Linked DNA regions of Struthio camelus. The protein of the gene in region 2 interacts with the protein of the main gene of each other region in a biochemical or structural test. Links are inferred from orthologs where the notes say so. Each region holds a gene or a part of one and is shown on either strand. Other genes may lie near its edges. The genes, in order: CRTC2 and SIK2.

The links.
Region 1: of the proteins of SIK2 (region 2) and CRTC2, one has a biochemical effect on the other in vitro, tested with the Homo sapiens proteins (2 studies listed by BioGRID). The link is inferred for Struthio camelus from reciprocal best matches to the Homo sapiens genes SIK2 and CRTC2.

The regions. Positions count from the first base shown.
Region 1 is NC_090971.1:4,536,059-4,539,957, reverse strand, and holds the start of CRTC2 (CREB-regulated transcription coactivator 2), read right to left. Parts: upstream 2,406-3,899; 5' UTR 2,391-2,405; coding exon 2,214-2,390; intron 1-2,213. Other genes in the region: SLC39A1 (zinc transporter ZIP1), read right to left, coding at 3,625-3,899. UniProt on the Homo sapiens protein: Transcriptional coactivator for CREB1 which activates transcription through both consensus and variant cAMP response element (CRE) sites.
Region 2 is NC_090963.1:2,872,997-2,876,895, reverse strand, and holds the start of SIK2 (serine/threonine-protein kinase SIK2), read left to right. Parts: upstream 1-1,184; 5' UTR 1,185-1,274; coding exon 1,275-1,424; intron 1,425-3,355; exon of another isoform or gene 3,356-3,421; intron 3,422-3,899. UniProt on the Homo sapiens protein: Serine/threonine-protein kinase that plays a role in many biological processes such as fatty acid oxidation, autophagy, immune response or glucose metabolism.

The DNA.
Region 1 (3,899 bases), on a different chromosome or scaffold from region 2:
GGGTTGGCAAAATCCACGTCTCCGGCAGCTGAATTCTGGCCAAATCCTAATCCTGGCAACATTCACACAATCCCCACTGACTTCACAGGGCCAGCGCAGAGCAAAACACGAATCGGAGCCGATCATCTCTTCTAGATAGTTTCCCCTGCATGGGAAACCACGTTCCTGGAGATATGCGGCTGCGTTCCTGGCCTCTCTTCTTCACCACCAGCCCCCAAATATCCAAGAGCAGCACCGCTCGGCTCCTCTCCTAAGATCCCTTTGGCCCCGTTCTGGGAAGCCCTGGGTCAGCACAGGATAGCAACGCTCATTCCCCACCCCCAGAAGCTGCCGAATGGGGAAATCTTGGCCACTGCAGGCACAGACGAGGAGACCAGACGCAGGCGCGTCCCACAAGCCCCACTCAGCCGGCTCGCCCAAGCCAGCAGTGCCGCTCCCAGTGCTACATTTTCTCAGGCTTTGGCCAATCTAATTTTAAGTGTCTCTAGGGATGAAGCTTCCGCCACTTCCCGTGGGAGCCAGCTGCACGGTCCTACAGATCGCACAGGCGGGAAAGACTAACGCAATGCTCAGCCTAAAGCTCCCAATACACCGAGAATCCCCGGTGCTCACGGAGAAGCCTCCCAGGTCCTGCAGCTAGCAGAAGATCGCTCAGCAGAGGTGACTTCCACACGGCAGCGCTGCTACCAGGACTTCTGACTTGGAAACCGTGATCCCAAGCCAGGGCCCTCCCAGCACCCAGAGCTGACTGAGACCCAGCGGGCACAGCTGGAGCCTGGAGGCAACTGCCCATCCCGGAGCCGTGGGCACAAGGACCCCTCCTCTCCCCCAGAGCAGTGGAAAGACAACTGTCAGCGAGAGTCCTCGTGAACCTGCCGAGCCCTTAGTCACACAGACGCCACAGGCGGCAAGAGTCGCTTTTTCCATCTGATTGCCAGGACGTGAACTCAGCACACGGAAACAGAGGACGTGCACGGTGCGCACCAAGACCCACACACAGCAGCCACAGACCAGAACAAGCCACGTGCAAACCCGTGCAGAAAAACCCAGCAGCAAAAACAGAAAAACAAATAAACAAACAAAAAGGAAAGAAAAGGAAAACCGGAGCCCAGTCAGGCACCGGGAAGCAAGCACTACCGGAACTAAGCTTTCCCTGGGGCACCTGGTCCTCTCTGCATCTCCCAGCCCCTTCAAAGGGAGACCGGCCTCTGCCCACCCTTGTGGGGAGAGCCCCAGAGTGGCGCCCCATCCAGCCCCACCGCCTGCCACGCTGGGCACTCACTGCCGGTGCCCCCTGCCCCACCGCATCAACCGCCCCATTGCAACACCCCCCTGCACCCCGACCTGTGCCTCACCCCCTCTGCACCTCGTTATGCCCCCTCTGGACACCCAGCCCCTTGCCCCCCCCATACAACGCCCCCCAGCCTTCTGTACCCCACCCCCTCTACATCCCTGACTCCCACCTGACGCCCCCCAGCCCCTCTGCACCCCCTTGTCCCCCCTGTTCCCACCTGACTCCCCCAGCCCCTCTGCACCCCCTTGTCCCCCCTGTTCCCACCTGACTCCCCCAGCCCCTCTGCACCCCCTTGTCCCCCCTGTTCCCACCTGCCCCCCCACCCCTCCACATCCCCTTGTCCCCCCTGTCCCTACCTGGTTCCCCAACCCCTCCATACCCCCCCATTCCCCCCTCAGACCCCCAGCCCCTCCACACCCCCTTGTCCCCACCGGGACCCCCAACCCCTCCGCACCCCCCTGTCCCCACCGGGACCCCCAACCCCTCCGCACCCCCCTGTCCCCACCTGGACCCCCAGCCCCTCCGCATCCCCCTGTCCCCACCGGGACCCCCAGCCTCTCCACACCCCCTTGTCCCCACCTGGACCCCCAGCCCCTCCGCACCCCCTTGTCCCCACCTGGACCCCCAGCCCCTCCGCACCCCCCTGTCCCCACCTGGACCCCCAACCCCTCCGCACCCCCCTGTCCCCACCGGGACCCCCAGCCCCTCCGCACCCCCTCGCCGCCCCTGCCCGCCGCCCCCGGTTACGCCCCCCCAAAGCCCGGCCCCCGGCAGCCCCCGGCCCCCGTCTCGGCTGCCCCGGCCCGCCAGCCCCTCGCCCCCCGGCCCGGGGCTGCGGCGGGGGCGGCCCCGGCGGTGCCCCGCCGCCCCCGGGCCCGGCGCGCATCCGGCGGCGGAGGCCGCGGCCGTGCCTGCTCACCCGGGTGGAGCAGATCTCCATCATCACCTCCTCGAAGGCCGCCGTCTCCTCCGCCTGCCGCTGCTTCTGCAGCGCGATCTTCTCGCTGAACTTGCGCGGGTTGGAGGCGCCGGCGCCGGTCGAGGAGCCCGCACCGGGCCCGGGCCCGGGCCCGGCCCCCGCGCCCGCCGCCGCCATCTTCCCTGCTCGGGCCGCTCCGGCCGCCGCCGCCGCCGCCGCCGCTGCCGCCGCCGCCGCGCGGGGCACGCTGGGGCGGGTAGTCCGCGCTCCGGGAGGCGCCGCGGCGCCGCGGGGGTCTCGCACTACAATTCCCAGCAGCCCCCGCGGCGCCGCCGCAAGGAGCGGCGGGAAACGGAGTCCCTGGCCCCCCCCCGGAGGGCGCCCCCCGCACTGCGCGGGGTGGGGAGCGCCGCCTCGACTACAACTCCCGGCGTGCACCGCGCGCTTCCCCCCCCCCCCCGCGGAAGAGGGGGGCAGTACTGCGGGGGGACACATCTGGGGGGGGAAGCGGGGGGGATATTGCATGGGGGTGACAGTAGGGGGCACATCTGGGGGTGGCAGCGGAGGGGGGATATTGCATGGGGGGTGACAGTAGGGGGCACGTCTGGGGGGTGGCAGCGGAGGGGGGATATTGCATGGGGTGACAGTAGGGGGCACATCTGGGGGGTGCAGAAGCACAGGGGTAATATTTCATGGGGTGACATTGCAGGATGTGGGCAAATGCGGGGGGAGCTCAGCAGGATAATATTGCATGGGGGGGACACTGGGGGGCAAACTTGGGCAGTGGGGGGGGTGACAGTGCAGGGGAGCAATATTGCAGGGGGGGAGCGTAGGGGGCTAACGTTGCAGGGGGCTAGCACCGCAATGGGGGCAATACTGGGGGGGGCAACGCTCCAAGGGGAGGGTACTGCATGGGAGGATCACACTGCGCAGCAGAGTAGGGGGGGGACCCTGACCACGGCCCCCCGCGCAGCTCCCCGCTCCGGGGCCGGAGGCCTCCCCCGAGTGTCCCCACCACGCTGGGCGCCAGGGAGCCGGGCACAGCTATCGCATCGAGTCCTTTATTTGCTTTTTCAGTCCGAAATCTCCCCCCGCCCGCGGGTGGCAGAGGGCGGCCGGGGACGCGGGCACCGCTGGGACCCGCCGGCGCGCTAAGAGCACTTGTGGGCACAGGGGGAAGACGCGTGCCGGCCCCGCGGTCCGACCGGGAATAGCACCGTTCCCCCTCGACGGACGGGGAAACCAAGGCACAGGGAAGGGGCTCGCCCCAGGGACGGCCCCGCTCCGCTGGGGCGGCACTTTGGCACTTGCACGTGGGACTCGGCGGGGCAGCGGGCGCCGCCAGCTCCGGGTTTCACCCAAAATGGGCTGCGTAGGGCTGCCTTCCCGGGCTTGCCGGGAGGGGAGGATCTCAGATCTTGATGAAGAGGATGGCGGTGACGAGGGAGAAGCCGGCGATGAGCAGGATGACCTTGAGGATGCGGTGCTGGGGGGCGCCCAGCTCGTGGGGCAGGATCTCCAGAAAGGTGATGTAGACGAAGGTGCCGGCGGCCAGGCCCTCGAGCACGCTGCGCCAGAGGCGCTGCAGGGCGCCGGCGCCCGCCGTCACCGCCACGCCGAGCCCGATGCCCAGCGGCGACATGAGGGCGAAGAGCAGCAGGCAGGCGGCCACGGCGCGCGGGCGCA
Region 2 (3,899 bases):
TACAAAACTCCTATGTAAAGGGAAGATGTGAGACAGATGTTTAGTTCCTTGCATTCATGAACTTTTTCCTTTTGTGGCCAAGCGGTGGTCTCATTAGTGTTTGCGTCCGTGGCGCTCTGGAATACGGAGCGGGCCTGTAACTGCTGCTGAATGTGCAGCTGACTCGACAGACACGTGTGTGCCCTCATGCCACCAGCTCTGGGACATGCCTTGCTCAGTCAGCAGCACTGCAGGAAACCTCCGGAGGGCGATTCCTGTTACCTGGATGTCAGGTGGTGCCGATCTCCCAGGGTGAGGTGGGTCAGTCAGAGGGGAGCAAGGAGGGACAAGTGAGAACGGGAGGAGGGCAGATTGCTGAAAAGAGCATGGCGATTTTAGAAGCCAACATAACTGAATTACAAGCAGTGAAGTGAACTAGGTGGACTGAGTAGTGGAAGGGAAATTAGGTGTAAGAGGCCTTCCTCTTCACACACTACCACTGTCAGCTGTGTAACCATTTTATGCTGAAGGGGCCTCACTGCTTTGACATCTAAGTGATGGGAAATGCTGATGGCTATTTTGATATGTACAGGCCGATTACATTAAGGGCATCCTTCTGATGTAGGACGACTGTGGTGGCCTTGAAATGCTGTTCTCCGCAAGGGGAAGGGCATTTCCCTCCGGAAGCCGAGGATCTGGTCCTGGCTGGTGGTGATGGCCCCCAGGCCTTAGAGCTGTTCTTGAGGCTGTGGAGCAGGCTGGGAGCTGAGATGCTGATGCAGTGCTGGAGTGGCACCTGGGGGGGGGGGGGGGCTCCTGCGGTGGAGGAGCACCGGGGGGAGCCCCTTGGTTTTTTGTGGGTGGTGCTAATGTAGCTGACTCAGCCCTGCTGTGCACACAGGTGCGAGGGGCCTAGGCTTGAGGGCATGGGGGGGGGGGGGCCCTCTCCCTGGCCCCAGGGCTGTGACGGTGGAGGAGGCGGCTCCTTACATCTTGGTGGAGGGAGGTAGCTCGGGGTAGCGGGGGGTGCGGTGCCTTCTCTCCTTTCCTCTCCCCCTCCGCCCGGCCTTGCCGCGCTGCGGGGGCCGCCGGGGAGGGGAGGCCCGGCGGCCGCCCCGCCGCGGTGGCTCCGGTTGCCATGGCGAGGCCCCGCCCCCGCTGACGCGCGCGGTGACGCGCGGTTGGTGGAGGAGGGCGGAGGGGGCGGGGCGGCGCGGCTCCAGGGCGCCGCAGACGGACGCGAGCCGCTGCCGCCGCCGCTCGCGTCGGAGCCGCCGCCGCCCCCCGCGCCCAGCATGGTAATGGCCGAGCCCCGGCGGCCCCCCCCGCTGCTGCCCCGCGGGCCCGGGCCCGTCCGCGTCGGTTTCTACGACATCGAGGGCACGCTGGGCAAGGGCAACTTCGCCGTGGTCAAGCTGGCGCGGCACCGCATCACGCGCAGCGAGGTGAGGCGGGGAGATGCGAGGCGGCGGGGGCCGCGGCCGCCCCCTGCCCCGGCGCCGCCCGGCCGCCGCCGGGCCTCGCGCGCGCGCCGACCGTTGGGACCGTTGGAAGGGGGGGGGGGGGAAGCTCGCTCGGGCTCTCCTCGGGGCTTCGAGCTGTCTGTTGGGCTCGGCTCGGGGTATGGATGGGCCTTAGCGCTGTGGGGCTCGGCTCAGGGTTTCTCTGGGCGGGGGGGGGGGGGTGTTCACCTTTGGGGCTGTGAGGCTCGGCTCGGGGTGTGGGGTGGCCATGGGGCTTTGGGGGAGGGGGTGTTCGCCTTTGGGGCTGTGAGGCTCGGCTCAGGGTTTGGGGTTTTACAGAGGCGTAAGCTGGGTGGCTCAGCTGGGGGGGAGGTCGGCAGGCGCCCTTGCACGGCTTTGTCCCTTCTGGCGCAGGAACCTTCTCCTTTAGGAGAAGGTGTGAGGAGGGGGATTTTACTTGAAGTGCTTTGCTGTGAGCAGGCTTTGAAGGACGAATCATGCCTGCTTATTCTTATTTTTGGTTTTCCTGGCAAGGGCAGCAGTAACGCCTCTGAGCCCAGCTGTAGCAGGGTGTCCCTGTGGCTCCAGCCCCCCTCCCTGTGGCAGTGCACTTGCTGGTTTGTGGCTGTGACAGTAAGGATGCTGGGGGCTGTGTGTGAGGGGGTGAACAGCTGTTGGCATAGTTCATGAGGCACGCTGATCAGATAATGGTAACTTGCTTGCTGCTGATAAGGGAGGCTAAGATCTTGGCTTGTGGCTGGTTTGTTGTCCTGCATACATTAGTTTCCTCACTTGGCTAGTACTTTTAGATGAGCCGTAGTAGTCTGTTTTAGTGAAGGAACTATTTTTTATATATATATCTTGCTATGAGTCCTCCCAGTAAGACATGCTACAAATGAACCAAATCCAACCATTTTAGTTTTTCGCTGTTTTTGCTTGCCCCAAATGTTACATAGTGAGTACCAGCCTTGAAACTGTTAACCTTTCATGCTTCACCTAAAGCTATAATTATTGCAGTCTATTTGGGTAATATGTAGTCAGGTGCACTCTAAAAACTGCCATCTAATGGGAGTAATGGCTTTGAACGATCAGCTTCCTCTCATGTTTTCTTCTGAAATACTAGGGGTGAGCTCTTTGTCAGTCTCTGTGAAGATCTTTTTTGCTCTTTACTGAAGAGCTTTATGTGGTGCTTATACCAGTCAAAAATAAGGAAATTGGCTAATCAAAGTGTTGTCCAAAATACAAAGTAAACAAATTGAAAAAAACCTGACATTAAGCAGTTGCTGTAGTCTTCTCATATGACAGACTCATTCCTCACAAGAATGAAAACTGCCATGAGCTTGGGCTTTGGTTAAAGAAAACAAACCTCCAATGCTGATGTTGTTCTGGCTGTGCTGTGGTGGATGGGCTTTGCATCCTAAACATTAAATTAGAGCCATATTTCTCAAGTTGCACAATAAACTGCTAATCACTTTAAATCTTTCTCTTTTGTTACTGAAGAGCAAGTTAAGACCTTTGACGATTACCTGAAGGTGTTCTGTTCTCAAGTTGGATGCTATATGCCAAATTTCTAAGTATTCCACTTGAAAGCAGTAGGTTGTCCTTTTTAGTGGTGTTCTGTCTTATATATGGGCTTTATGATGAGGAGGAATACTTCAGTCTTGACCTTGTTATTTTAAGAAGTCTTTGTTTGGTATTGTTCAAAATAATGAGTATATAGAAAATTAGGAGCTTAACAGCTCTCTCATTCTGGTACGATTCTTCCACCTGTACCCTCAGAAATTCTTAAATTCCAGTACATTGTCATCAGTACAAGTTTGAGTTCTGTTAACCGAGTTTATCTTTTATGAGAAGCCTTGTGTACAGTGTCTAATCTGGAGCCTTTTTATTTCTGCATTATTTTTACAGTAAACTTGCCTATGAGACTTCTGTGTCAAACTTCACTTTTCAGTACAGTTACATTGCTGTGAATTTTTGCGGTAAGAGATGCAAGAATATTTATTTGGAAGTTAATTGCTTAGTTGCTCGAAGTATTGACGTGATCTTTGAGGAAGAGGAACCCTGTTCAGATCACTTTTAGTAACGTCAAGAGAAAGTAATTTTAACGGAATACTGCTTTGAATAAGCACCCCAAGTTTGGGACAACCTCACTTAATTTAATGGTAGCTGACTACGCACATAAGAGAGCGGGAGTCCCGCTTAATAACATGTCTAGATGGAAGACATTTGATTCTGAGACTTGTTCTAAACTGTTGGATATTAAGTTTGGCTTAAATTTCTTAAGTTGCTGCTTTCTTGTGTTTACTTATATGCTGCACATGACTGCCTCTATTAAACTTGCTATGGAAGAATATTTAGCTTATCAGCTGCTGAAACTAATGCCATCTCACCAATGAGTCTGTAGTACATGAAGATCTGTGCTGTGTTTCTGTTGAGACATGCTCAGAGAAGTCCTTT